Astyanax mexicanus: one gene and its partners. The protein of the gene in region 2 binds, or shares a complex with, the protein of the main gene of each other region. Links are inferred from orthologs where the notes say so. Each region holds a gene or a part of one and is shown on either strand. Other genes may lie near its edges.

Region 1 (9,902 bases), on a different chromosome or scaffold from region 2:
ACCACTAATATCCACAGCTACACACTCACTGTAACTGCAGCATCCACTTGCTGAAATTCTTCTCGTGTTTTCTGTTGAGCTGACTGATCTCATCCACATAACAGGAGGGCTTTCCATCCAACAATCTGAGCAGAGTTTCCTGCAACACACCATGAAAAACATCTGTAATGATTCATTTATTATTCTGCCTAAACCCTAAAGACAGCTTCAAACAGGGTTTTATTTTATAGAGTAGACATTTGTGGTTATCTGGATGATGTTAGACCAATGTTTCAAATATTAAATTCAAATGAACATTAGAAAAGCTTCATCTGGAGCTTGAGTTTAGGTTCACTTCATGATTTCACTTATCTAACTGACTGACTATTAAACAAAGACCCCTAGCTGTAATAAATACAGACACAGGGCGAGGACTGACCCGATCTAGTTTAGGAGTCTGCAGCTTCTGAAGAGTCCGGTCTGATGTCAGAACCTTGGAGCTACTGTGGGCTTCAAAATATTCCTCCACCAGGTTGGGCTGAAAAGAGGGAGATTGGCATACGTAAAAGGCTCATCCATATTCATACATACCTTATCAGTATTGCTGAAACATATCCTACAAGGAAACTAGACTTAACACTCAAATGTGATGACTTAGAACAGCTAAAATGTGACATTATAAACTAGTTACAGCTAAACTAGTTATATATTCCTTTAAAAAATGTAATCCCACCTCTGGTGCTTTCTTGCTCTTCTTCGCAGGGGTCTTGTAAAGAGCAGCAGCAGCTCCAGATGACTTGCTGGGGGTTTTGGGCTGAGCTTCAGCTTTTTCCCCCTTTTCTTCCTCTTCATCCTCTTCATCCTCCGAGTTCGAGGGGGAGAAATCACTGTCACTGTCTGACTTTAGGTTGGGAGCTGAATAATCATAAATAAAATATATATAAACCAAAAACATCAACAACAACAAATATTATTTATAAAAATATTAAAAGAAAAAAGAAATTTGACTAATAGTAATTTGAACTTTAATAACAAACCTGATATTCTCTTTCTCAGTCTGTGAGGAGTCGTGGAGACAAACTGTACTTTCTTTCCCTAGAGAGGAAAAATAAAAATAAAAAGAGTGAAATTAAATTCTTTAGAATAAAAGTGATCTATCCAGTGCTATTGAGACGAGCTGGGGATGAGGTGAGATGAACAGCCGTTCAACATCCTGACCTCACTTCTCACACTCTTTTTTACTCAATACAACCAATCAAATGCTTAAACAATGTTTTAAAATCTTGTAAAAAGCTTAAAAGTTTAAACTGTTTATTACTCTTGATTTCAGAAGAAACTCACAAACACAGTCATTCTCATATATGAAGGTTCCAATTTACCTTTTGAGGAGTTTTGTTTTGACTGGCAACTTCTGTAGTGGGAAGAATAAACAGTAGGATTATTATACATTATAAGCCTATGATGGATGGATTGTTTGAATGAATGTATAGACATGTACCACACTTTCTTATTCAATGTATTTCATTATTTATTTATTTTGTACATTGTTGATTAATATTAAAGACATGAAAACACATATGGGATTACGTAATAAAAAAAAAATTTAAAAAAAGAAAAAGTGTTTGTCCTCCACAATCCCCTGACCTGTTCAACTGAGATGGTGATTTAAGGTGATTTGGAATGAGCTGAGCTTCACAGTGTGAAGAAAAAAAAGCTTAAAATACCAAGATTAAAAAAAGATTAAAATATCAAGAGTGTGCAGATCTGTCCAAAAGCTAAATGTGCTACTTTAAAGAATTTTCATTATTAAACATATTCTGCTTTTTGTTTTCAGTATAATTCTGAATGTGACCTTAGCTTTCATATTGTCTTTAATATTACCTTTACAATGTAAAAACAAAAAGCATATAAAAACACTAAATGAGAAGAGCTCTGTCCAAACGTCTGACTGGTACTGTAAACAGATAGATAAATAATGATATGATTACTAACTCTGGCTTGCCCGGGTTGGGCTGGCTGCCTCCTCTGGACTCCCAGGGGTACGAAATGTGACACTTTTGCCAGGAGTGCGTGCCCACTCTGAAGCTAAATTGAGAGAGATAAAAAGAGAAATGTATAGCGAGGTATAGTGTACAACATTTACAAGCATCTTAAAATCATCAGACTAATAATTTAACTCTAGCTTAATTTACTTTAAAATATGTAAAAAAAAAATAAATAAAAAAAATCTGACACAAAATCAAAATCTTTTATTAACTCACCCATCTGAGCCATTTTATTGGAGCGTTTGATGGTCTGGAAGGTGAACACTGAGGCTCCTGCTGTGGCCGACCCATTCTCATCTCCAGCTGTGTAACAGGATACACAAACAAAACAGCAACAATGTTTAAACACAGTATGGAAACATCACCGATATTACAGCCAAAAAATGACTTTTTCAATCAGTTTAAAGTTCTTTAATAATATTGAGAATTGTTCAGTGTTCTCTTGGCAATTTTTGTTTGTGTGACAAAAAATTCTACCTTCTGCTCCATAACCAAGCGACTCCACATAGTTTTGCTTGTTAAAAACTCCCTCCTCTTCTTCCTCTTCCTCCCCTTCTGCAGAGTCTGTCGTTTTCTTTCTGAGACTCTTCAGGCTCACTAGAGTTTGTGCAGAACTTCTGAGTGCTCTAGACCCTAAAATACAATTAGAATAGAGAGAGTAAAAACCTGAACCAAAACGTTTCAAGCCATATACACAACAGGACCAGATACTTGAATCTCCAGAAATGTAGTGCATCATTATCAATCCATTTACATTTTTCTAATAGAGTTGCTTATTTATTCTCAAGAACAATTGGACAACTGGTCACGATCATTACCACCCAATGCACTGTGCTGTCCACTGTGGGCAGTAATGCCTTTTATGATGTATACCCAGTACACACGACAATGTCCATTAAGAAATAGAATGGGATTTAACACCCAGAAAACAGAGATGTGTGTCAATCTCAGCACCTTCATGTTTCTCGACAATGTGGTCTAGCACATCTTCATCTCCTACGAATTGGACTTCCAAAACTCCAGGACCTGCAGTGCGTTTCTGTGGACTCATTTTGGACCTGAGAGAGAGAGAGAGAAAAAAAGTCAAAATGTTTTTTGGTGGATGAGATACACAAGAAATTATTATTTTTTAAACCAATAACAAGCTCAAAGTCAACTGACAAGCAAAAACAAGTAGGTAGATGCATGGAAATGCATGAATTCCAGTTGTTGCTGAAAATCTCTCTTTAATATTCATTCATTCATTTACACAGAATTTATTTTGCAATCTGTTTACCTATTCTACCTATTCGTTCGTGCTCTTCAGTCGACTTATGACTTAATTTCAAGAACTAGCTAAAAGGTACTGTGTGCATAAACACTGTCTTTTTATATAAACTACCTGTGCACTTTCAAAATTCTCAGAGCCTTGTTTTAAATGTCAGGACACTTGGAATTCTACCAATGATATGTGTGGGCTACTTTGAGCTTTTAAATGGAGTAAAAATAGTTTTTTCTTTCCATTAGCAATTCTATGCCCTTATCGCTACCATTGTGAGACTGTTGGGAGCACTGGATAAAAGCCCTGTATTTTGGAATGCTGGGGGAGATTGGAGGTCGGCACTTTGACAAAAGTGTGAACTTGTCATCATGTTTCACTACAACACAAACCATTTTACACTGGAGTTCCCTTTAAATAAATAACCTGAATAAATGAAAAGAGTGTGAGTTTTAGTTCTGTTTCAGTAAAAGTACAAAAAAACTGACTCATCAAGTAAAAAGTACTTTGAGCAATATTATTTTCAGGAACAGGTTCAGCTAAAAGTTTTAATTGTCCAGTACTTAAGAACATTCACAATAAATAACTTTTATAAGTTTTGTACAAGTAGCAATATAAGTTTTATAAGTTTTATTCACATTCAAATAACACTTTACCAAGAGTACATTAAATTTGACTCAAGTCCATCAGGTCTGTGCAGCTCTAAACCTAAATCTCCACTCTCTTCTGCAGGAGTTTAGTGGAGCAGAAACAGAACTGCTGCTACAGAACCGGCTGCACTGCGGCCAAACTCACCCCGAAAACAGCAGAACTTCCTCCAGAAGCAGCGGGTTTAAGACCCCTCCGCGCGCTGTTTCTCCGCTGAGAACAGTCTGTATTAATATTCCCTCAGAAAAAGCGCTTTACATTAAACTGCACCACATTTTACAGCCCCGCAGCCCCGCAGCGACTCCTTAACCCGCTCCGATTCCGCGCCACCACAAAAATATTCACACCACGTGGGCGGAAGTGCCGTGACGCCACAGCCTGCAGCCCAGGGCTGTGTCTCATTCAGTCCCATTCACCAGCTGTCCTCTATCCTGTGCACTACTACACTACTTAGTGCACTTTTACACTATGTAGTGCACTATTATACTATGTAGTGCACTATTAGACTATGAGGGGACTTTTATACTATGTATCCGAAATTGTGCTTTTAGCCTACCGAAAGCATATATATATATATATATATATTAGTAGAACTTTATCAATTATCAAGTACTATAATATATTAAAATGGCAAATCATTTCACAATAAAACTTAATTCTGGTATGCTTTTATATATCTTAAAATAATGACATAGTATCTCATAATAATGACGCAGTATCTCAAAATAATCTTGTAGCATATAATAATATCTCATTATTTTTGGGGTACATATTTTTGGGATACTTCACTATCTATGAAACTATGTAGTTCACTAGTATACTATGTAGTGCACTAATGCACTGTATGGTTCACTTTTACACTATGTAATGCACTAGTACACTAGGCAGTGCACTATTACTCTATGCAGTGCACTTTTATAATATGTAGTGCACTATTATACTATGCAGTGCACATTTATACTTTGTATCATCTTAAAATATTTGTCATTGTTTTGAGATACTATCTCATTATTTAGAGATATTATTGGGTTTATTTTTATGAAATACTATGTGGTTATTTTGAGATACTAAGTCACTATTTTAAGATAGTATGTCCTTATTTTGGGATACTTTCTTCTTTTTTGAGATACTAAGAAATTATGTAGATTCTCTCATTGTTTTGAGATGCTATCACTTTATTTTTTTAAGATCTATGAAATCATACCAGAATTAAATTTTATTGTGAAATTATTTGCTTTACTAATATATAAAAGTATTTGATAATTGATACAGTTCTACTGAAACAATATTTCACTTGCAAAAGCAAATTTCAAATATGTCTGGGTAAAATGTCCATGCTAACAGACCAACGACTCTAGTTGTCATATCAGTAAACAGTTTTTTCACAAGTACAGAAATTCAGTTTTCTGTATACAGAAAACACTTTAAATGCAGGATGAATCTCAGAAAGATGGGATAGGATTGGAAGTATCAATGTTCAGCAGCCCATCCATCTCTACCACACTGCAAGGACAATTTTCTAAGCAGCCACTGTGCTCAATTTTTGAATCTGTAACAGGATAGGGGTCTGTAAGTTTGGCCTACACTGTGGAAATTATAGGAATCTAACTGTCTGGCTGCTCCATGGCTTATCAATACAGAGCAGAGCCGAGATTTGCCACTCAGGCCTGTGCCGCACTCCTCCTCAGTCCTCCGTAAAATGTCATGCGATAATGGCCTGAACATTTTCAATCAGACCAACACATGGAGCTTTGTCTGCAAATGTCACTGACCAGAACCGAAAGATCAAATTCAGCCGTTCCAGAATGAAAGCACTTTAAAAAGCAAAGCGGCGAGAAAAGGAAACTTTATCACAGCCTTGACTGCTTGAAAGGAAGTAGTGTTGCTGTCTGAGACTGTGCATTTATATGGTGACTAAAGGAGCTGGTATAGAATACTCTCTTCAAAGCTTTAGATATTGTGCAGACCGTGGCTAGAAACTGAGTAAATGCAGCCTGGAGAGCACAGGCAGTAGGGGCAGCGGGGCACAGTGCTTCCTATCCCATTGTGCACTGCTGGCTCAAACTATGAGTTAGACTTGTGGGTATAACTGTAATTACTGTTCAGAATGTGAAAAGAGTGTTTAGTTGTTGACTGTTACACCCTATTGTAATGTTTACACCAAGCTCTGGTAATTTTAGGAAAGGTTTTTCTAACCTACTCTGATTGCTGTTTGCAAGCAGTAAGTTGTTAATAAAGAGCTTCCTTAAGGCCAAGTAATGCTGCCTGTTTGGATTCCTTCTCATGTACGCCACAAAATCTTCATAAATAATTTTTTTTAAAGTAACAATTGGAAAAAGGGTTGCACCAAAAAGACTGCAAGTCAGATTGCAATTACAAATTGCAAATACAATTCAGTGGGAAGATATGGGTAATATATCTTGGCTTGGAATTGTAGAGGTTCCTAATGGTGTCCAATCCATTCCATGCAGCTCAAATATTCACACCAATCCAACAGATTTTGCGGTAGATAGAACCACAGATAGAAGACAGATAGAACTTTGTGTTAGAATGATTTACTGAGACCCAAATAGATAGAAGTGCTAATCAATTTTATAATACTACTGCCTTTACCACTGATGATGAGAGTTGATGTCAAAGAATAGATGGAATTCAGAGATTCTGACATCCTGCTTTAAATAGAACAGTTTTTACTAAGAGATTAACAAAAAACAGTCATGTAAATAAGATTGATCAAATTTCATTCATGTTTAGCAAGCTTGTCCAAAAGCAGGCACTGTTAGTACTTTTGGTGCTTTGTATTAATGACACTGTGTGTCCTTGTTATTGTGGATTTAGGTTAAAATAACATTGTATAAATTGACTGTGTTAAGGAATTAATATTTCTTACATAATATTTTCAAATTATCCAAATCTTAAGGCTTTCAGATAGTCTAAAATTGCAGGAGCTGGAACCAAAATACATTTTCTCATCAGTTCTACTTAAGCCTTCAGTTTAGTTTTCCTTTGTTGTGCTTAATTTCTTTATTTTCTGTTTGTTCAGCTCCTGGCCTGCTTTGCTGTTGCTTTTGGTTTGATCCTAAACCAAAAAAAGATCTCTTAAAATGGATTTTTTGGCTGATAAATGCTGGATTTGGCATCTGTCTATATATCTATTGGGAATGCAACACCTTCCTTTCAAGCCATAACGTTCTGGGAAAGGATCATTGAATAAGAAACACCATTGTGGGCTCTCTGAATGTGGGCTTTGTTTTTATGCCACCAACGGCTGTAACTCTCCAGCGAGAATTGAACCTATGACCCTCTGCTCATAGGTCCAGCCGCAGCCCATACTGTTTGCTCCAGGCACTCCTTATGAACAGTAAGGAATCATCTGTTTTTCGAGAGGGTCCAGTTACGCACCGGCTGAGAGCAGATGGCTCTTTCAGACTCTGTCTGGAGCGTTTCCAGATACATGCCGCCACCAGCAGAGCGCAGAGCACCCCATGAGCTCATTTCAACACTGTGCTGCACTGAGCTGCATTTGAAACAGCTACAAACTCATCGCCAGTCAAATCAAAGACTCATGGAGATAAAACATGAGGATACTAATACAGCAGAATTAATTAAGGTCAAAATGCCTTAATGACTATATTTCTTAGCAATGGCATAGAAAAATCACCTCAGGTTCTCTAAGTGAGATTACACACTGGTCAGTGTGCTCATGGCAAGGAGACATTTATTAAGTTTGAGGGGGGCATGATGGTAGTGCCAGATGGATGGAAAATCCCATTTCCCAAAGCTGCATGGGCATTTATCATTCCTCTAGCCTCGGTGTCCTGTGAGCACTGGTGAATCATAGAGGAAATTACCACCCACAGTGGACAGGGCAGTGAGAGGCAATGATCGTAACTGGTGATGTCTGGTTAGAATTGTCCTTCACTTAAATAGAAGACTCAGAAATTTCATACACATTCAATGAGGAAAGTCCCACACACTTATCCCACAGGTCACTGCCATGTTTTTAGCTTTATGGGACATGACAAAAGTCATGGCACACAACACTAGATAAAATGATGTGGCATTTCAGTGTATATTCTTTAAACCTAAATAAGGTTCTTAACACATTTACGTTGCACACTAACAAAAATGACTCTCTAAAGCTGGGGTTCTCAAACAAATGCCCCCAGATTAATTTATCCTTCTATGCAAACTGCAAAATGCAGAGACATTTAAAAATGTGGACCATCTAGGAGTTTCTGATGACAAGATTTGAGAAGCACTGTTCCAAAGAATCATGTTTAAAAAAAACTACTCAATGCAACAAATGTAAACCATTTTAACCATATAAACCATCTATTGGGCATTTATGTTTTATAAACCTTAGTAAGGTTCTGTCACATCAGCCCACTTACGAGAAAGGTTTTGTAAAGCAGGGTTCCTCAAACAGCTTGACAATCCACTAGAGGGCAGCAGCAGAGCACTGCAGCTCCAGCAATTGAAGGTGGCATGTAAAAGCTCCTACAGACTGAAAGCTTGCCAAATATCACCTTTAGCTGTATTATGAATGGCCAGTTTTATGCCACGCTTTCAGTGGATCCTTAGAATTACAGACAAAAGTCATGGGATAGCAGTGGACAGCACAGTCCAGCAGCATCTGGCTAGACCAGTCAATGCGACTCGTGAAGTGACTTTGGCAGAAGAGCTCCACAAGCATAAAGTCAGTCTTTTTCTGTAAGAAGTAACAGGACATAATACTAGTTATTGTCCTCTGACTTTTGTCATGTTAGTGAATGCTAGTAATATGCATGAATAGCATATTACTGACTGATATTGTTTTGAGCACAATAATAAAGACAGCAAACAGGCCGCTCTCTTTTAAAGTGAAAATTCATATTTTATTGGTACATACATTAATTTAGTCAAGGGCAGAAACTAAGAAAAAAAATAGATATATCAAAGAGGGGGTGTCTACGGGGTTAGAAGGGGGACAGATCACCATTTAGTTTCAATTACAAGTGCAGGGCTGGCAGAAATCTCACAATTTGCATGGAAATGAATTAAAACTGGGCAGGGTATCAATTTAGAAAAATTAAGGAAAAAAAAAAATACAAAAATGTCCAATGAATTTAATGACAAGATTGACTATCCCTCGCAATATGGCGAATGAAATAAGGTCCATACAAGTTCAGGACGTGCCTGGGCCAACATGCACTTAACGAAATAACCAGCCTGTATGTGACAGAATGACCCAAAGACGGAGACAATGGATCAATAAATCACATCGGCTAATACACAGAGTGGAGTGATGCTATCTAATTCGCTCGTACAGGCCTTGAAATCCCCATTTTAACACATAACGACCCATGTGATAAGGTTGCTGCTTTGGCTGGCCTTACTCAGACCAAGAATGGACAGATCAATCCGGTGTGACTGTGCCCTTTCTTTTAAATCAATCAATTGTACACAGGTTCATAAAATTAAGGGAAATTGGATTGGGTAAAGAGGAGGCGGGGCTGGGGGTGGGCTGGGACAGGTTTTATGTGTTTCATCTTTTCACTTTTTTTTCTTTTTTCTTTTTTTTACACATCAGATCAGAATGGCTTTAGGTAATGCTAGGGAAGAATACATTTCCATACAGTTATACAGAACTTTTGCTACTACCTTAAATATACAAGCACAAGTACACAAAAGGAAATAAAAGCCCACACTAAATTACTCTCTTCTGTTTTTAAAAATAATACAAACCAATATAATTTGAGGGTTGAGATTTTAAGGACCTCCTTGAAAGTCCTCTTAGCTCCTTGGTCTGTAGCTTTCAATGTCGGTAAAAAAAATCAAATAAAAACATTCTAGGGAAATAGAGGCTGGTATAAAATGCAGATAAAATTTTTCCAAAATGCTTCGTTTTAAATGCTCTCCACCTAACCCTTTAAAACTATGACCATTTTCGGGCTGTTCTACAGCATTGTGGTGGTGGTGGTGATGTATTG
Region 2 (10,411 bases):
AAGCTCAGATCCAAGCTACTGTAATATTTGGCTCTGCTGTGGTTCACGCATGCAGACTCACAAAGACTTTGTCTCCTACGACGTTCTCCAGGTGGAGCTGGCGGGTAATTTCTTTTAGAGCGATCCGGTCATCAGTCTGCAGCAGGCCTGCAGGAGAGACACCACTGTCAACAGAACGAATACAGGAGCAACGTATATATATATATATATATATATATATATATATATATATATATATATATACACGTTATATAACTCAAAACCATGGAGCAGTTATGTGCGTGCACCAACACTCACCACTCAGGTGAACCTGGAGAACATTCTTCTTCACCTCCTGCAGTTCCAGCAGCTCTCTCAGAGCACAGCGCAGAAGCTACACAGACACACAAAGAGAAACACTCAGAAACCCATTACTACACTAAACAAAAACTGGATGAGAAAATAAAACAATTCTCCTGATCAATATGCAATTCAATATATCAGAATTGAGATGGGTGCAACATCATCACACATCCAAAGTGAGTTTCCACAGGAGTGATGTGAGCTAACTACAAAGTTTACCAAAAGATTTTTCCCTCCACAATGTTGTTTATCAATTGTGGTGAGCCTCACAATATACAGCTCTGGAGAAAAAATAACTTTAGAATGATGACCACTTAAAAATGATGAGTTTCTGATTTTACCAATTTTAAAACCTCTATAATATAATCAAGAGGAAGATTGATCACAAGCCATCAAGCTAAACTGCTTGAAGTTTTGCACAAGGAGCGTCATAAAGTTATCCAAAAGCAGTGAGTAAGACAGGTGGAGAACATGCCAAGATGCATGAAAACTGTGATTAAAAACCAGGGTTATTCCACCAAATATTGATTTCTGAACTCTTAAGCTTTGTAAATATAAACTTGTTTTCTTTGCATTATTTGAGATCTAAACGCTCTGCAGCCTTTTTCTTATTTCAACCATTTCTCATTTTCTGCAAATAAATGCTCTAATTGACAATATTTGTATTCGGAATTTCAGAAAAATGTTACAATAATTTATAGAATAAAACAACAATGTTCATTTTACTCAAACATATACCTATAAATAGCAAAATCAGAGTAACTAATTGTTTTTGGCCAAACACAAAACAATAAGTTAAAGAAATGTTTACTTGTTATGCAATCAGAATAGTAGGAAGCACTATACACAATATGACTAGTGCCTGCCACCAAAATTTGCATGCAATTTATTGAGCACTTAAAGAATCAATATAGAATTACAAAAACACGACAATATTTTAAAACACCAATATTTTCTTTTACCCCATTATAGTGCCCATGCTGTGTTTGTACAGTAACAGAAGCAGCCACCTATATGAACCAAGATGAAGTGAAAAGCCTGAATTTGAATTGTACCATGGTTTTACCAGCTCCACGTGGGCCCACGATGAGAACGGAGTTACTTTCACCATGAACTGCTGTTCTTCTCAACAGCTCCAGTAGGTGCCTAAATACCCCCAAAAGACACACACAAAAACTTCTTACTTATACAACACGCAAACAAAGAAAAGATCACACTCACATCTTCTGTTAATGACAGCTTACAAACACAATTTTATTTATTAAATTTAACACATAAACAACCCACTTGTACTGCGAGTCCAATCCATAAGGTTTGTCAGGAAGCTTCTGGTGACAAAATCGCTCCCTCATTATTCTTTGGACCTGTAATAAGTAAAAAGCCATGTATGTGTCACTTGAAACAAACAGCATAGGACATGTTAAGATACATTTAAAACACTTATGCAGCATCTAATTGAATATCAGGTAGAAATCTATAAGTTCTGTAATCCTGTATAATTGGATAATGCACATCAATTTATAAAAATCACTGCACTATGCATTACAGGAGACAATCGCTTTGAAATGGACCTGGGTTGTAGTGAAACATGGTAATGCGTACAAACGTTTGTTGAATAGCCCACCTTCATTCATCCCCATCAGTTAGCGCTGTTAACTGATGCTCCCAACAGGCTTACAATGCTAGCAATATGGGGCATAGCTTTGTCCATGCAAGTAAATCTCTATTTTTATACCATTAACAAGCTCAGGATAGTTCCAAACAGTTCAAATATTAAACAGTGCATGAATATGTAAACATTTGGCCTTCCAGATTTCCTTATTTGTTAAATAATGAGTATTTCAATGTAAATAAAATATTTAAATTAAGAGATTTCAGGTCACTGCCACTCACGCTGCCTTAAAGGTACATCTGCTCATAGAAATATGATACATCAGTGATCTGGATCTTTTCCACCTGATTCTGATCCTTAGAAAATTATGTGATCTACTCGTTCCCTGGGGACATCCCTAAATATGTTTTATTATGATTAATTTTCTTCTATCTGTAAATAGCAGTTACAAAACAGCAACCTAAAGTTATTTTTTTATTAACTATAAAACTCTTTTAAAGATATATGGTGTCTAGTCACGTATGACCTTAACTTTTTCTGATACAGTGATTTAGCCTATCCACATATCCTACATAGGCTTCTGCTGTATTTTTACCTTTTCAAAAAATAAATACTACTAGTAGCACCGTTTGACAAGGTAGCACAACTCGACAAAACACTGATATTAAAGCAAAAAAAAAAACAATACATTTTTTAACTAGTCATCTTGGCTGGACTAACCTGAGATACGCATTCACCAACAGGCAAACTGGCGTCTTTCGACTTACGCTTGCTCATGATTCTGGAAAAGAAAGAAAGACAAGTTAAAGCTGCACGTTAGGGGACGATAAACCTGGTAAAATAAGATTTTATACGACTATCTGTAAAACTGCTGTCGATATTAGAGGTTGGTAACCCAAGTCCAGAAAGTAAAAATCCATCCCAGGGGGCCAGTTGTTCAGAGGAAATCTGATCGGATTTTGGTTATCGGATTGGATCAAATCTGGAAAACGGGTTGTTCAAAAGGGAAAGAAGCATTCTGAAATCGGATCAGATCACGTAATCCAATCCTAGTTTGTAAATGGATCAAACCTTCAGTTTCTGTTGTTCAAAACTTTTCAGTAGGATTTGGATAACTTTGATCCAAAAAAACAGGATTACCCTGATCCCAACAAGGGGTAGGATTTCAAGGGGGATTTCAGGAAGTAAATGTGGTAAAACTTTAAAATCAAAGTTTTAAAGTAAAAAAAAAATACATTTGTACAATTTAGTGTATATACATTTACTTCTATTTTGCACTTGACCTGTTTAACCGTTACAGTAATAAAGTAGACATTGGCTACCAATTAAGCCTTTTACTATAGTAACGTAAAAATAAAAACAATCTTGACCCCATTAAATAAACCCCCCAAAAGATTTCAATAACAAACAAAAATAATATATTCATTTTTTCATCTACGTCACTGTCATTCATCACTGTATATTAATGTCAAAGAAACATTTATCAGATATGAAGCTGTCAAAAATAATTTCGAACAATTGAAAAGAACACCAGAGTTTGTTCTGGTTCTTCAACAGGCTCAGGTGCATCATGAACATCACAGAGAGGGACATTGCGTCTGGTAGCAACATTGGGCAGGACAATACATGCAAGTGTTATGTTGCATGCTCCCTGTGGTTCGACTCGCAAATAGTTAAGGCATGCAAAGCGTCTCTGCAGAATGCTCAATTGCTCGTATTGTTTTGCAATAAGCAGTATCTTGTTACTGCAAGAAAAGGAGTCATCAACCCCTGTTGGTTCTTCTATCTGTTTTTTACATAGCTGGTAATCCGGATTAGGTAATCCTGAAAACTGTGTTTCTGGATCAGGTTGATCCAATCCAATATTGCTTTGAAAAACTGACTTAAAAGTAAGACAGATCACCTGATCCTGGATAGCAAAAAATGTGATTACCAAATCTGGATAATTTTGATCCGGATTACATTTTTTGAACAACTGGCCCAGGGTTTTAAACGGACTACCTGGAAGGCTCTGTGTATAGTTCAGCTGCAGCAGAGCCGCCCAGCCAGTTAGTACATAACCCTGGGATGGATTTATCTTTCTGGACCTGGGTTACCCACCACTTAAAAGCAGAATACAGCTGCTTGCTCTTCGATCTCTCGAAATGTCGAACTCTCTGTTCCACCTTAACTGCTGCGTTGGTTACACTCTGGAGCCAACACGTGCGCCCATAGGAAACTGCTGGATCATTTAAGGTGGACCAGAGAGTTCGACAAAGCGAACAGTGAAGCAAATGTTTAGCTTCGACAGCAGCCTCGCACTCACCGCCGAACTACTAAAAGAGAATAACAGCGACCCTAAAGCTCTACTTACCTGTTTCTGACAGCCTTTAACCGTAAAAAGACTTAAAATAGAGAAAAATAAATCTCCGCGGATCACAACAGAACCGATTTCGCGCCAGTTCTGCAAACAGCAGGCGGAACCGGAGCTGCAGAATACAGATGGGTTTCCGGGTTACACTAGATATTAATATATTTCTAATATTACCTGTATTTAATAACAATATATATTATTAATAATAACTAATGTTAATATTTCATGTTTAACTATAAATATCACCGTCTCAATGTTTGTTGTTTTTTCCTGAATAATATTATATTAATATAAATCTTATTAACTATTAACTATATCTCCAAATAAATATTGTAAATTCCTGTTTAAGGATGTATGTTTTCCTATTTTTGGGAATGCATAATTAATTAACCTGTGTACATGTCCCTAGCTCAACATGTTGATATTTAGGACTGGTGGATTAAAAAATCAGGTCACATTTTTAAACTTTTCAGTATAGTGCTAGAGTGCTGATCTATGATCTGCTTAGGGTCAATAAAACCATAGTAAATAACAGAAAATCATGGATGAAACCACATGTTCTTAATATTTTTGTTAATTCTCTGATTAATATTGCACGCCTCTATTTTGAGGATTTCTATTTAAAGAGTACATAAAAAGGTTTCATGAAAACGTTACTGAAAACCCTAGTTGTAATTTTAATAAAAATATTTTTAAAATGTGTAAATCTGCAAGTATATATATAATTGGCGTTTTCCTGAGCAAATTAAACATTTCATGTCCTTCAACCTTTTGTTTGGTGTGGTTGACTAGTTTTATGTCAAAGCATTTGGGGTTGATTCCTGTTACTTATTTGAGATTATTAAGTGGAGTAGAGATTGAACAGACAACTTGCCCAAGTCTCCTGTAGGAGTCTGTGTAGCCCTCACTGTTTTCAGAATGTAAATAACTAATTTAATTGCAGAAAAAAGGATTTGGTATCACCTACACTTGTAGCTTGTAAATGGGCCAAGGCGGCAAGGCCCGTTAAGGGTTTAATTTCCAAAAACAACAAAATATAACAAGGACATGCAAGATAAATTATAACAAACAGTCATACATCAAACTAAACAAAATATTTAAAATATTATAAAATAACAAATTAAACTCCTTTAATAATTTATAGTGGATACAGCTTTTTTGTTGCTAAGACAATTTAGAGACGCCATAAATAAATCTAATTCAGCAAGAAATACTATAAAAAATGGATGTCAAGGGACATTACCAAATTTTAATTTGTGCAGACATCATAGTTAAAGCCAGACATCATAGTTAAATGAGACATCATAGTTAAAAACAAAAATAACATCTTTATATCCACGCTGTAATTAGCTTTATTGGAAAAACATTTAGCTAGATAGATATTTTCACAAAAATCTGAAAAACAACATTTATAAAATAAATGTACAAAATAAACAATTTGTTGAGATTATGGGTAGATATAATGCAGACTTTTTAAATGTACTTCTGTGAATTATTATTATAAATACAAAACATAAGGAAATTACCAGCTTTTCTCCACAATATCTCTGTATGAATAAAAAAAGGCCTATTCGGAAAGGCATAATGCACACAAGCCCACATTTTGCTTATGGACCCAGCTCTCAGTTCTGTCTGTCTATGCTATTTCATTAAGGCCATGGGGATTCATAAAGTCCCTTTTGATATCAGATTTCGGCCTAACACAATAACTACATTATCAGATTATTGTATAATATATGAAAATAACATCAGTAATTTTTGCTGACCTGTGATATTGTACATTATGCTTTTTCTTAGGAAGTAGAGCAAATTAATATGTCAAAATAAGGCTCTTAAAATCTTAAAATAACATTATCATTTATTGTAATAATTCTGGGGCAATATATCATCCATTATTTAGTTTTTTTTAATGATGTCTCAAAATTCTTAATGAATAAAAGTTATTTGGTCTTAAAAAGGGTGTAACTTAATTATTATGCTACTAAATTGTTACATTTTGAAAGTGTTAAATTATTATTATTATTATTATTATTATTATGATGATTATTATTATTATTATTATTATATTATGAAAGTGTCAAAATAAAATTATTATTGTTTATTGCAATAATTACTGTGACTATATATATATATATATATATATATATATATATATATATATATATATCACCCATTATTTAGGATTTTCTCAAATTCTTATTGATTAAAAGTTCACTGATCTTTTAAATGGTGTAACTTCATTATTATGCTATTAATAGTAATAATAACAATAATATAAATATTATTAAAAATAATAATAAATATTAATATTAATATTATTGTTGTTGTTGTTGTTGTTGTTGTTGTTGTTGTTGTTGTTGTTGTTGTTGTTGTTGTTGTTGTTGTTGTTGGTGGTGGTGGTGGTGGTGGTGGTGGTGGTGGTATTATTTAACATTATTATAAAAATGTAATTAAAACATTTAAAAAAATTAAAAAGGCTCCTAAAATAACACTATTATCATTTATTGCAATCATTCTTGAGACAGTATATCACATATAATGTGATACAGATTTTGGCCATATTGTCTAGCCCTTGTGAATAGTATACAATATACACAAATCAGAAAAAAAAACGTGTCCCTGTTGCTCCACGCTCCACACACCAGCCATCCACCCATCCACCTCCTCCAGCCCTCCTGCTCTGCTGGTGTGTATACGTGTGTGCGTATGCGTGTGTGCGTATGCGTGTTTGTGTGCGTGTGTGTATGCGCGTGTGTTTGTGTGTGAGAAGAGAGGGGCCCGGTGCATTGTGGTCCTGTAGCAGCTGTCTGAGCGTCCTGATGGGGGCGCAGCGGGGCCGAGCTCCATCTTCTAACCCCGAGCAGGCAGCCCGGAGAGAGGCAGCAGAGCAGAGGCAGCGGATGGGGCAGCTTTTTTATTTCTCTTTTTAAAGGGACAGAGTCGATTTGAGACGAGCCTTAAAAACGGACTTTTCCATCGCCGTCGACCTCTCGGGGACTTCAAACCGACGGCAGCGATGCGCTGGACGGCTGTTAGGAGATAGAAAATCCGGGGAGAGGGATCTGAGAGCCTCTCCTCCTCCTCCTCTTCTCCTCTATCTCTCTCTCTACCCTATCTCTCCTCTCGTCTCTCCGTTTCTTCTGCTCTCACTACACTGGCTAGCTGTTAGCTACCTACCCCCCTTTCGCTAGCATTAGCTAGCTAGTTAGCTGTTAGCTCGCTCCCCCTGCCTCCTCCTCCTCCGCTTGGCCTCTCTGCTTTTGAGACGTTTCTCTGGATACTTTGAACCAGCCTCGTAGACACGTATTTACACTAACTTGGCTGTTTTCGCGGCGTTAAGCGGAATAACAAGGTACGTATATGTTTAAAGTTATTTTTGTTATATTTAATGTTGCCCAATATGTAGCTTAACTGTGTATGTATTATTTCCCCCTTCTGTCTCTCTCTCTCTCTCCTTCTCTCTCTTCGTTCCTCTCTCTCTCATGGGTCAGGCCACCCAGCTAGCAGTTAGCTAAGATAGCTACCTAGGCTAGCATAATGAACGTTAGCCAGCCAGTAAGCTGGGCTAGCTAGCTAGTTAGCGTTAGCTATCCACAGCAGCCGTAGCCGTAGCAGCAGCACTTCGCCTTATTTGTTGTAGCTGCTGCTGCTGTCGGTGTCGACTTCTTTCTCCAACCTACATCCAGCTGACTTTCTTCTTGTTTTCCCCACATTATTGTCACATCCAGCTAGACCCCTGTTTCACCCTCCGTCGTGTTAAACGGCCCCGAAAGCGAAGCCTGGTGTACTTTTTTTCTGGTGCTTGTATTTATTCCCCTATGGTCATGTTAGCTCAGCTAGCACAGCCTAGCTAACCTGAAAGCTTTAGCGTTAGCAAACCTAACCAGATAGCAGCTGGGCCAGTGTAGTAGTTGAAAGCTAGCTAAGAAGCTAACTAAGCTCATAGGCTTTATACTAGTCTGCCAGCTAACTATGGTTAGCTGATTGCCTGAATTGGGTTTGTTTTTTTAACCTAATTATTATTAATTTTACAATTTTAAGCCCTGCTGTCAGCTGCGAATACCCAAGCCACTCTTAGCTCAGAGTATCTGCGACTGTTTTAGGGCATCTAGCTATTACACGGTTACACTAACTACATAACATAGCTATCTCTTATCTAGGTTATATTTTGTAGGTATCAGCGTATGGTTTATGAGGGGGGAAAGCTGGCTAGCTAGGAACGATACAGCTTGTTCACTAGCTAGTATTTATTGAAGCCAGTCAACAACAGCCTGCCAGATCACTTCACCTAGCCAGCTAATCAAAGTGGACTGTTTTTCTGTGATCCTGTCTTTAAAAAAGAACAATATTAGCTGTCTAGGTTAGATTAAAAGGTAACACTCAAACAATCACTTTATCTATATCTGGACCAGATTTTGTCTGTGATGCAGTACGTAGCCATGGCTTCCTTAATCCTGTCAGAGTACATGTATGTATACTCCCATTTTAGAAGGAGATATTCTGTAAAATAATACGAATACTAAAAACTATCTAGTTTTAAATTGACAGTCTATTAAAGCTGTCACCAAGGTGTATAGATGAAGTGCAGTTTGGTTTGTAGGCCCTGTTGCTGCTGTCAGTATGTGGTAGAAAGTAGCCTGTTAGTTTGTGGCTTTTATGTAAAAAATACTTGGTCTTGGTTAGATTAGGAGACAACACTTCATCTATGCACATTTGTGAATCACTTGATTTAATATCTGGACCAGTCCATTCATTTATTCAAGACCAGTGGCCACACAGACTTTGCTTTTAGGGTTCCATAATCCAATTAGAAATCATGTATGATCAAATGTAGAAAACACTGTTTTAAACGAGTTCTGAGAATGCCAGTTTAATCTAAATATTATTTTTCGATTTGACAGTATATCAAATTATCAAAATATTTCTTCTAGCTGTCAGTGAGATCATGAAGTGCAGTTTGGTTGTGTGCTTTTTTGCCAATGCTATTATTTAATGGAGAAGTCAGTCAACAACAGCCAAAAACAGTCTTGGTTAGATTAGGAGGTAACTCTCCACCTAAGCATGTTTCTAAATCACGTTTTATTAATATCTGAACCAGATTTTATCTTTAAGAGCTGTGGAGCAGTTAAGACAGTGTTTGCATTTAGGCATCCCTTACTACATCAGATTACATGTATACTCCCAATTTAGAAGAAGAAGATACTCAGCATATCAAACTGTTCTTGTGATTTCTTCTAGCTGTCAGTGAGGTCATGAAGTGCAGTTTGGTTTGTAGACTGTTGCTGATGCTAGTATTTCATTCAGAAGTCAGTCAACAACAGCCAACAAAGTAGTCTTCCGCCTTTATGTGTAATATCACAGTATTGGTTAGATTAAGAGGTAACAGTCCATCAAAGAATGTTTGTAAGTCACCAAATTTGAGCTAGCTAATAGCTGTGGTGTAGTTTAGGCCAGCCAATGTTTGTTTTTAAGCTTCCATCACCCCATCAGAATACATTTATACTCACAATTTAGAAGAGGATACTCCATAAAACCAATACGGTGAAAGCCAGTCTAGACTAAATGCATATTTTTAATTTGACAGTATATCAAACTGTTCCTCTGCTTCTATCTAGCTGTCAGTAAGGTCATGAAGTGCAGTTTGGTTTCTAGACCCTGTTGCTCTTGTTAGTAATTGAAGGAGAAGCCAGTCAACAGCATCCAGTAAAGTAACTTGTTGGGTTGTGGCGTTTTATGTGCCAAAATCACTGTCTTGGTTATATTAGGAGGCAACACTCCATCTAAGCACTTTTGCAAATCACCTTTAATCACTATTAATATCTAATATGTCTGAACCAGATTTTAGACATGTAAGTGCTGTGATGCAGTGTAGACCACTAAACATTTGCTTTTAGGCTTCCGTGAACTCATTAGAATACATTTATACTTCTAATTTAAAGGAAGATACTTCATAAAACCAATACTGAGAATGCTTGTTGAACCCAGATCTAACTAAAATGGCTATTTTTTTATTTTACAGTATATGAAACTGTTCCTGTGTTTGTTAGCTTTTTTAATTCTTCTAGCTGTCAGTGAGGTCATGAAGTTTGGTTTGTAGGCCCTGT
Region 3 (10,589 bases), on a different chromosome or scaffold from region 2:
GTCACTGAACTGTGCATGTTCAGTTTAAAATGAAAATTTACAAAATGTTATTTTTGTTCTGATTCTACTCATTATGATCAATAGTCATGGTTCAGGTGTGTGTGTGTGTGTGTGTGTATATATGTGTGTTGTACCAGGTGGCGTAGTTCTCTCAGGTCTCTGCAGACGGAGTAGAAGACCCCCAGCAGGATGTTGATGTAGGAGGAGTAGAGTTCAGGAGAGTAGGATGGGTTACTGTCCAGAGACAGGATCTGCAGCAGCTCCGCTGTGCCACAAATCACACACATACATGAACATTAATATCACACCAATATCAGGCTTTTGTTTTTTTCTTAGTTATGACAAATGAAAATTAGAAGTTAAGGAAGAATTATGTTTACATTTGTTTGTTGGGAGTGTGATTTTGGATGCATGGTGATATTAGCATCAGATCATCATCAATAGACAATCACAATATTACAAATGATTTCTGTCTACAGTGAGAGAGTTAATACTTGCTTTGAGATTTCTCCTGGATCAGGGCTTCAAACAAATACCATGCCACCATACCAGTGATGGTAAAAATAGTACACGTGCAGGATTAAAGTTCTTTCGGGACAGAACATTTTGTGTGCTGTGAAAGCGGTTATAAGAAGTTTATAAGGTGAGCGTTTGCAAGTTAAAATATGAATAAGAATCTTTTTACAGACAAATTCTTGCCTCTCAACATCAGCTTGCCAATCAGCTTGTTGTTACCGCAGCAATAAGAGTGGTGGTAATATGGTGCTAGAAAGGCCCTAAAAGCCATAAAGAAAATAATTGTAGTTGGTGGAACGCCATGTTAGTCAATTGTGGAGCTTGAAAAGTGGCAACAGTAAGCCAGGAAACTGCACCACTTGCTGGCTAAAAGTGGAACTACGGTTTTAAGACAAGCAGATGTGGACGGAGTTCAATGTACCAGCAAAAAAAAAACAAAAAAAAAGAGACACACAAAAAAAAAAAAAAAAAAAACAACTGATGACATTATATATAAATACAACATACAACTTTAAACACTTTGGGATAATTTTGGGATGGTTGTAAAAAGAATTAGTCTTGAGCCCTGCCTGGATGATCCCCCCCAACCAGCACCCCAATAATATTAGACTCCATGAGGAGACTTGGAGATGTTTTAAAGAACAGTGACAGAAAAACACTAATAATAGGTATGTTACACTTACTGCCCAGCTAAGTAGCAGATTTATATTATAAATGACAAAGGAGATGAAAATAATTTGATGATAATATAAAATACTGCTGTACCTTTAGTATAATCAGGGAAGTGTAGCAGCAGAGGCTCGAAGCAGCCAGTGTTCGGCCGAAACTTATCCCACACGATCTCACTCAGCAGGATGACGGTCACATTATCATCCACCTGTCGGACACAACACAGGTCAACGTACTGCAAAAGAGCAATCTAAGCAAGTCTGGAAACAATCTTTAAATACTGTAATATTGATTAAAATTAATGCAACCCTGGATTGAAATCTTGTGACATGGCAGAAGCTTATCGAAACAATGCCACAGTGATGATGACATGAAGCAATCAAAGCTAAAGACGTGGTGATTTTTTTTTTTGGTGACGACTTATGTTAGTCAGGCAGTGTATTTATCATATTATATTTGCATTTAAATCGTCTGTGAAAAACTTAAAAATATAGTGGTTGTGGGCCGGTACCAGTTCCTGTAGACGTAGCAGTCCAGGCAGCAGGTTGGCTTCCATATCTCTGAGCAGCTCCGCTCTCTCCAGAACCTTTCAGAACATCACACGGCACACAATAATCCTTTATTAGATTATTATAACTCATTACAGAAACATGTTTAGTAATTAGGTTATGAACAAAAAAAGTGTGTTGATTTTAAGGGGTTTAAAAAAAGAGGTTTCACGTCCCAAAATTGTACTTTCTACAGTACTGATAAACCTGCATGTAATCATTACTGACCTACAAGAGGTCAATTCACGTTAAAAGTGTTTTTTCTGGAGTACAGTGTGTATTATATAGTGTGTGTAGGTCTGATTTACTCACAATGTACCGGGTCTGCTGGGCCGGTTTCTGAGCGCAGAACTGCCTGTAGATCCGAACGAAGTCTGAGAGAGAGGGAGAGCGAGGGAGCAGAGTGGCCGACTCGGAACCAAACATCGCTAACAGAACCTGCTCAAACAGCAGCCCTGCAGATACACACTCCACACAGCTCACCGCTGCATGAGGAACCTATACACACACAATTACACACATACAGTAATTTAACATTTAAAGAAAAAATCAGTTAAAGAAAAAATATTTTTGGCAGGGGAAACATTTTGGGGGATTTTTTTGCACTTTCCAAATACAAAGTCTTAGAATGTATGTATATAATATTAATTCATGTTTACATAGTAGGGGCATGCTGTATCGTATCACAGGCAATGATATTGCAAAAAAGATTGACACAATAAAAAAAATCCTTTTATTTAATCCTCTATTTTTTAAAACGCAGATCCGTTTTGTATTTGTTTTGCTATTTACTGAATTTACTCTTAACTGTATGTTTGCAGTTTATATATGCACTAAATATCTTGTCTAGTTTTGTGGTTATATTATTTTTGCTACATTTTTATTTTGTTACACTATTGTTAGTTTATTACTGTTTACAAAATAGAGAAACATTTCTATATATTTTTTGTTTTTACTGAAGGTATGAAACCGTTATATTTATACAAAAAATGTTTATTAATATATTCTTGAAATTTATATTTTTTTATTTCCGTGTTTTGTTGTTTTCCCTAGAATATAATCATCACATAAATACCACAAAATAACTTTTTCTTAAACATTTTTTAAACAGCTATATCAACCACCCCCACTGCACAGTACCTCCAGTTCTTTCAGCAGGGTGAGGATCACATGGCTCTTCCCCGTGGCTCGGTGGCCATAGATAAAGATGGAGGGGAAGCAGTACTGCTCCGGCTGTACATAGGGAAAAAATGGACAAATTCAAAGATGTTTTCATGACACTGAAACATAAACAGGTTTGAGAAACACTGAATGAATGTCTGATCTATGAAAGAGAAAGGATGATATCATAAAAGATGGGAAACTATAAAACAGATAAGACAAACCTCCCCCATTAGAGCCAGCAGCGTTCCTGCCTGTCCCTCTCTACAGGGAAGCCGTTCGCTCACAGAGCTTAGTTTGGCTTCAGGATAGCCGGGACACTGCAGTCCAGCCAGCATCCTCCTCAATCTGAGAGAGACAGAGTCAACATCAATCAACATGCAAAACTTATCCTTACACACAGCCCTAGTTCTAGACTGCTTTTCTGATAAGCCAGAGCTGATGATACTGGCTAAAATTGACGTATGATACTGGCTAAAATTTCATGTGTCTTCAACAGAAAACAACGCATTAAAGGGTTTCCTACAGTGTATATACAGCATATTTAACGAACATTTATAAAAAACAACATCTAGGGTCATATAGACTACAAAGGAACACATAAGGAAACTTACAATAAATGGAAAATGTTAAACAACCCACAATACTCTGTGACGCATTTAGGTATCTGGGGATGGTAACTCTGATAACCTTATCCTGTGTGCAACAGAGCTAACTCTTGGTCTTGCTTCTCTGAGACAACCCTGATAAGAGTCAGTTTCATCATAATGCTTTAATGGTCTTTGTGACTGCACTTGAGGATACTTTTAAAGTTCTTAAAATTGTTCAAATCAACTTACTTTTATTTCCTAAAGTCATTTTTTACTTAGTTGAGTAGTTCTTGCTATAATATGGATTAGAACATTACTCAAATACAGCTATTTACTGTATACCATTTCTACCTCTTCACAACTTTACAACTGATGCTCTCAAACACATTTAGAGGCAAGAAATTGTTATTAACTCTTGAAAAGGCACAGCTACTTTAAATAATCTATTCTGTTTCTTAACACTTTATTTGTTCACTATATAATTCCGTTAGCTTTTCCTTATAGTTTGGATGACTTTTGTATTATGTACAAACAACAAAAGTGAAGGAAACCAAAGAAAATACGACTTTTTATATATATATATATATATATATATATATATATATATATATATATATATTTTTTTTTTTTTTTTTTTTTTTTTGTGCATTAAACAACCTGAACTCACTGTTCAGCACAAACGTGTAAGTGGAAATTAATAAGAATAAATACTTGAATTATTAATTTTAAAAAATACAAAAGCAGTTTGTATTTACCTCTTATTGGGATAACGTTACCATAACACAGTGATTTATGCTATCCATATATTAGCTAGCTACATCTACTGGGACTTTACTGGTAATATGTTCTAATACGGTGTTTCTTTTGTATTTTTACAGTTAAATATACACTAGGGTAGCACGGTTTGTCAAGGTAGCACAACTCGACAGAACACCGGTCTGGGGCTGGAGGTTTCAGCAATAGGATGACAGTTTAAGAAGAGAATCATTTAAAACACGTATATTTTCTGTTAAATAAAGTAATTGATATAACTTATATACGTTCTGTTTATACACTACAACACCACCTATCTCCATCTAAAATCAGTAACATAAATATATGTGTGTGTATATTTAGTAATATTATGGGATAGAAGCTCGTGTTGTTGTATGTTGTGCTGGTATGAACAGCGCGGTTATTTAAGTTATATAGTTTAATAAAGTTCTGCTACACTTATAGCCTTTCTACAGATCAAAGAAAAAAAACAGATTACTTACTTTATAAACACTCAGCCAGAAACCCCAACACACACTCATTCACACAGGATCCACACGCTGCTTCACTTTCCCGCGAAGGTGACGTCACATCCGCAAGCTGGGAGTTGTAGTTTTTAGACGCGGAGATTTGTAGTAGCGAGTTTCAATCGCTTGTTTCTGTATATTTCTAAATAACAATGTATTTATTGTGAACACGTGTTTGAGTTGGCCTAGGTAAGGTCATTTTAATTCTACTGTAGTTTTCGATTTTTTAAATTAGCAAAAACTATAATTGAATTTCAAAATTAAAATATGTATATGATTAAATGGTTCAATTTAAACTACTTTACCCGAGTATTAAGAAGATTTTGGGTGTAAAACAGCACCTTAGCAACACCTATTCAACCACTTAGCAACACCAAATTGGCCACCTCTAATACCACAGCAACCACCTTGCAATTTTTTAACAAATCCCTAGGAACATTACAGCATCCACCTAGCAACATCATAAGAACCACTTAACCACACCTTAGCAACCACCTGGGATACAATAAAGGATGTTAGCTGTGCAGCCATCCTGCGCTCTATTTTCTTGTTTTATTTACTTTAAAAAACCCACAAGTGAACCTGCACTCGTTTAAAAAGGTTAATTACGGTAAAATTGTGGGAAATCAGAAGAAATAAACTTTTTTTGAGGGACTTCTTTGTCCCAGAACGACATGTATTTTTTGCTCATAAGAATGTCAACAACTTATTTGACTTTTAAAGACCCAATTTAGACAAAACAAGGATTGTAAAGGAACGCTTACTGGTTTGGAAATACAAATAACATTTAATCAATTATGAAACGTGTATAATCAAAAATGATTTGGTCTGTTATTTAATATAAATGCACACATTGGAATACAGACATTAACTTTGCTCTGAAAGACATATTTTATATATGTTGTTTCAAGGTGTAACGGAAGCAGTGTGTGTAAGTGTGAAGGGCGCAGTTAGAAGGGGCAGTGGGGAACATTCCTTTTTATCCCATGGTGCACCGCTGGCTCACTCTATGAGCTAGACTTGTGGTATATACCTGTAATGGATGTTTAAATGTTACAGTAGGCTACCTCCCATGAAGCTAGTTTACTTCAGTTTCAGTCACTCCGCCGGGTTTTTACACTGTTACACTGAAGTTAGTGTCACTCTCTGAGCACTTTATGTGCTGTAAGCGAACAGTACACCCTATAAATAAACGAACCTCCCTTCTTTCTGGTACATGCCACAATATTATTTAAAAATAATTATATTTTCGCTTATTTTCCACTATTTTTACGTGTCGGACCACTAATACAATAACTGATTTAAAAATTGCCCCACCGTGCTTTGTGTTCGCTAAATCAGTGCGCGGTGTTTCGCAATGGAACGCGACCATAATTTTAAGCGCACTACTTAGGGCACCGGGGGGCGTATTGGAACGCGCCCGAGCGTGCAGTTCTGACCTGCTGTGAGCGCTGTTGAGCTGCAACTGCTGCTGCTGCTGAGTGTGTGCGTGTGTGTATGTGTGTGTGTGCTGTATGCTCTCCCTGTCATCTCGGCGCGCGTGCTTCAGTGCTTCAGTCCAGGACACATTTTAGAGAGAGAGAGAGAGAGAGAGACAGAGAAACATAGAGGTGTATATATACAGACAGAGGTAGAGCGAGTTAGAGAGATAGACAGAGGGAGAGAGAGAGACGGTGTGTGTTTCTGACCAGAGATGGGCTCCAGAGGCTGCAGAAGCTCATCATCTTCTTCATTGCTGCAGCCTGGAAGATGCTATTTTTCACCACGTGAATAATGAATGGGGCACTCATGGCTGACCACTCTGCATTTTAATGCTGTTTTCAGGGATTCATCTGTCATTTTTGGCTGAGATGAGAGCAGGCTGCTGTGGGAGCGGTGGTGCTTTGCTGTTGAAGAATCTGTAGAGCAACAAGGATGCAGGTATGGACGTGGAAATTTGTATAATTGTGCCTGTATGTATGCATTTATCTGCTTATATCTGTTTATACATATAGTAAAAGAATGCATTTTATATTTATAGACTATGCTTCATTACAGGATTTCTGGACATGATATGAGATGTTTGAGGCATGATGGTGTGAATGAGAAAACAAACACCAACCCCTTGATTTATTTGCAACCGATAAGCAAAAAGAAGAAAGAAAACAACCCGAATCAAAATCAGTTAATGCACCGAATCATACTAGTGACACCTGATTATACCACAAGCTTCCACGACACGATTCCACCAAGTCTACCCCAGCTTCTGGTGCTGTGCAGCTCCAGCTCCACGAGGTCTGCATCCAGGCGATGGTCCCTGGAACACCAGCAGCCATGCTCCCCGCTTCAGAAGCCGCTAAAATCTACCAGACCAACTACGTGAGGAACTCCCGAGCCATTGGAGTTCTCTGGGCCATCTTCACCATTCTCTTCGCCATCGTCAACGTGGTCTGCTTCATCCAGCCCTACTGGATTGGCGACGGGGTGGACACCCCCCAGGCCGGCTACTTCGGCCTCTTCCACTACTGCATCGGAAACGGACTGTCACGAGACCTCAAGTGCTACGGCAGCTTCACCAACTTCAGCTCCATCCCTTCGGGTGCCTTCAAGGCTGCTTCCTTCTTCATCTGCACCTCTATGGTCCTGGTGCTCACCTGCATCGCCTGCTTCGCCCTCTTCTTCTTCTGCAGCACTGCCACCGTCTACAAGATCTGCGGGTGGATGCAGCTGGCGGCAGGTGAGCAGCAACGTTTAGTGGGTGATGGGGTTGTGCGGTTGTTAAGATTCAAGCAATATGGGACAAAGGTAGTCTGTCATAATCCACCATGGGGATTGCTGGTTCAAATCCTTGGCCATGCTCTCTCTGGGTGGGTACAACAGGTGGCGCTCTCTCCCCTTATCACTCCCATTGTGATGCTGGTTGGTACAGGCATCTGTCAGCTAATGTATCAGAGCTGGGTATCTGGCACTTTCCTTCACGTGCGCTGTGATGCTGCACATTGATTGGTGGCAGTTGGAAAAGAGGCGGAGACTGACTTCACACATATTGGATGAGGCATGCACTAGTCTTCACCCTCCTAGTGTTTGTAGCATTACTTATAGGAGTAGTTCTAATGAGAAGTTGGGGATGTTGGTCCTCCCAATTGGGGAGAAAACTGGGATGCAATTAGAAATAAAATGATATAGATATAAAAAAGATTAGAGCGATAGTTAGGCTATCCCCACATTAAGGTCTTGTGTCTAAAGTTTACTTATTTAGTTTGTATGGGACCCAGTAGGTTTATGTGGATTCACTTTATGAAGAATAACAGTCATAATTGCATTTTTTACTTAAGCATTTTGCAGCCTTAGTTCATCCGTTAGAGCTAAAGTATACCCATACCCATCTCATACTCATCCATATTCCTACCAATCCACACCCATCTATACCATACCCACTCATTTCTAAATGTTTGCATACCCATTCATATCCAAAATTACCCATACCCATAAATATATTCATACATTATCATCAACCCATCAATACCCATCCATACCAATCAGTAACATACTGGAACATTTACCCATACCCATAAATTCATATTTAACAGTACATACATACCATCCATCCATTTCCATGAATATTCATCTACATCCATCAACACTACAGTATACCCCTTCTTCCCCAACCACACCTATCTATTCATATTCACCTGCAGCCCCAACCATTATTATCCATATACACCCATTGCTATAGACTCCCATTCCCATCCATTTCAATCTATGACCATCTTTTTTATACCCACTCACCCATGCCCATTCATAACCATCCATAATTTCAGCTATGCGCACCCATATGTAAAAGTCAGATTTTGTGTGGTTTCTGCTTCTGAATTCTTTAGTAAATCTGATGTAGCTTAGCTCATTATTTCCAGAGCGGATTATAACCATATTTTCATTAGAGACACACCATTTATACATTTTTATGGTCATTCAGATTTTTTTTACAATATAATTCACTGCTGGACATTTTTATTAGCCTTATATTAATCTGAACCTCACACTCTGTGGCCACATTTTTAGCCCTTTGTTCTGTTGGCCAAATACTAATATAAAGTTAATATATATATATAATGAACCAATCTGGCCTTTTTATTCCCTAGAGAAAATATCAGAGATATCAACCTATTTTAATCACATTAATCAAATACATTGCTGAACTGAATTAGAGTTGACTGGTGTACTATCCATAACCATTCTTACATAACCAAATTCATACCCATCCACACCAATCCTTACCATAACATATATAACCATATTCTTATCCATCCTTACTAGGGGTGTCACGATTCTCTAAATCCTCGATTCGATTTCATTTTCGATTTGAGGGTCACGATTCGATTCGATTCTCGATTTTCTTGTTTTTTTTTTCTTGTTATTATTTTATGCCTCATAAAATTTAAATAATATATTTATTATTATTATTATTATTATTATTATTATTATTATTATTATTATAAATATTATTATTATTATTTATTAAGATATATATGGTAATGCCATCTAGTGACTTTTTTTGGTAGCAACAGTGTGCACTATTAAAACAAGCAGTTTATCAGAGCTGTGTGTGGATGGCTGGTGAAACTGCTCATTACATGAAGCTGCAGTTCTTCATCCAACCACTAGCAGCAGCAGCACAAGCCCCGCTCTCTTCACTCAGTCACTACTTCAGTACAGCCCAGCCACGGGCTACAGGGCTCAGCCAGTCCGTTTTTACTGTTTCTGTAAACAAATAAAGGTTTTAACCCCACTAACCGGATAATACAGCTCACTACAGTTCATCTTTCAGCCCAAGCAGCTAACAGCAGCAGGTTAGAACAGCCGACACGGAGTCACTGCTCGGATTACATTATAAACAGGTCAGTTAGCGCGCTGCTAACCTCAGGATGTTTATAACTACGGAGTTTAGTGGACACACCACGGCCGCCAGGTAAGTCTTTTAAAGGCTACTGAAGACTATTAAAGGCTATTAGAGTGTAACCCCTGGCTCCCAGGGGTTACAAGAGGTTATTGAAAGCATTATTGGGGGGCAGAAATCAGTACAGGCTGGTTAGATAAGTGATGTGGGTATTGTCTTATAAATATTTACACATAACTTATATCTCTCCTGAAAAGCTTTTATTTTAGTCAGAAACACGCTTGTGTTTACTTTATCTGAGAGAAAGATGTTTTTTTAATTCAATGGAAAGCAACAGGTGTAGTCAATTATAAGTTTAAGATTTTTAATCCACCTCACTGTGATCTATAGTCAGTGTTCTCAAGTCACACTGACACACGCATTTCAGCGAGTTCACACGCTCTCACCTGCGCGCACCCACCCCTCCGTTAGATACAGATACAAAACCTGCGCGCCCAACCCCCGCCTCCCCTCCCCCGTTGGACAGATAAAAACAGTGATCACACTCCCGCCGACTGCGCTCATGCAGTGGCTATCTCTATTTAAATGAATAGGATGCGCTGTGTTGGTGCCGCGCCATTTGCGTAGCGCGCGCGGGAGGGATCGTCGATCCTCTTTTTGACTTCGATACTCGAGATCGTGACCTCATTTCGATTCGATTTCGATAAAATATCGAGATCGTGACACCCCTAATCCTTACCAATCCTTACCATAACATGTATAACCATACACATACCCACCTTACCATAACATCTATAACCCCACCCATATCCATCCTTACCAATCCTTACCATAATATATATAACCATCTTAACCAAATCCATCTTTATAAACCCTTACCATAACATCTATAACCATATCAATAGCGATTCTTACCATATTTAGAACCATTCCTATACCCATCTGCCTT

What was found.
Region 1: the proteins of orc4 (region 2) and orc2 are in contact, whole or in part, in a cryo-EM structure (PDB 7JPP), measured with the Homo sapiens proteins. The link is inferred for Astyanax mexicanus from reciprocal best matches to the Homo sapiens genes ORC4 and ORC2. Residues at the interface, in NP_001177808.1 of Homo sapiens: Lys168, Asn169, Arg195, Glu200, Leu201, Lys204, Arg205; in NP_006181.1 of Homo sapiens: Asp501, Asp504, Tyr508, Ser512, Gln518, Glu522, Val554.
Region 3: the proteins of orc4 (region 2) and orc5 are in contact, whole or in part, in a cryo-EM structure (PDB 7JPO), measured with the Homo sapiens proteins. The link is inferred for Astyanax mexicanus from reciprocal best matches to the Homo sapiens genes ORC4 and ORC5. Residues at the interface, in NP_001177808.1 of Homo sapiens: Ser18, Gln21, Arg22, Arg25, Glu26, Cys29, Arg30, Gln31, Arg69, Thr74, Asn100, Leu102, Leu103, Gln104, Ile105, Ile109, Glu113, Arg116, Asp162, Arg277, Met281, Met284, Leu285, Asn288, Met311, Asp312, Ser313, Lys314, Asn316, Ile317; in NP_002544.1 of Homo sapiens: Ile17, Ser20, Leu21, Phe22, Gly23, Glu24, His26, His27, Phe28, Ser29, Phe30, Pro31, Tyr36, Gly37, His38, Thr39, Thr98, Phe99, Asn100, Val103, Arg104, Arg131, Glu134, Asn136, Pro139, Gly140, Arg143, Gln145, Glu146, Leu147.

Annotation. Positions count from the first base shown.
Region 1 is NC_064423.1:30,252,031-30,261,932, forward strand, and holds the start of orc2 (origin recognition complex subunit 2), read right to left. Parts: upstream 4,277-9,902; 5' UTR 4,078-4,276; intron 3,083-4,077; 5' UTR 3,076-3,082; coding exon 2,979-3,075; intron 2,658-2,978; coding exon 2,502-2,657; intron 2,328-2,501; coding exon 2,241-2,327; intron 2,065-2,240; coding exon 1,972-2,064; intron 1,391-1,971; coding exon 1,359-1,390; intron 1,075-1,358; coding exon 1,017-1,074; intron 895-1,016; coding exon 713-894; intron 518-712; coding exon 419-517; intron 140-418; coding exon 30-139; intron 1-29. UniProt on the Homo sapiens protein: Component of the origin recognition complex (ORC) that binds origins of replication. DNA-binding is ATP-dependent. The specific DNA sequences that define origins of replication have not been identified yet.
Region 2 is NC_064412.1:33,930,381-33,940,791, reverse strand, and holds the start of orc4 (origin recognition complex subunit 4), read right to left. Parts: upstream 4,435-10,411; 5' UTR 4,308-4,434; intron 2,736-4,307; 5' UTR 2,732-2,735; coding exon 2,675-2,731; intron 1,707-2,674; coding exon 1,630-1,706; intron 1,489-1,629; coding exon 1,398-1,488; intron 374-1,397; coding exon 298-373; intron 148-297; coding exon 62-147; intron 1-61. UniProt on the Homo sapiens protein: Component of the origin recognition complex (ORC) that binds origins of replication. DNA-binding is ATP-dependent. The specific DNA sequences that define origins of replication have not been identified yet.
Region 3 is NC_064409.1:24,352,787-24,363,375, reverse strand, and holds the start of orc5 (origin recognition complex subunit 5), read right to left. Parts: upstream 4,903-10,589; 5' UTR 4,741-4,902; intron 3,243-4,740; 5' UTR 3,233-3,242; coding exon 3,119-3,232; intron 2,967-3,118; coding exon 2,874-2,966; intron 2,232-2,873; coding exon 2,046-2,231; intron 1,772-2,045; coding exon 1,697-1,771; intron 1,394-1,696; coding exon 1,282-1,393; intron 266-1,281; coding exon 135-265; intron 1-134. Other genes in the region: lhfpl3 (LHFPL tetraspan subfamily member 3 protein), read left to right, coding at 7,054-7,480. UniProt on the Homo sapiens protein: Component of the origin recognition complex (ORC) that binds origins of replication. DNA-binding is ATP-dependent. The specific DNA sequences that define origins of replication have not been identified yet.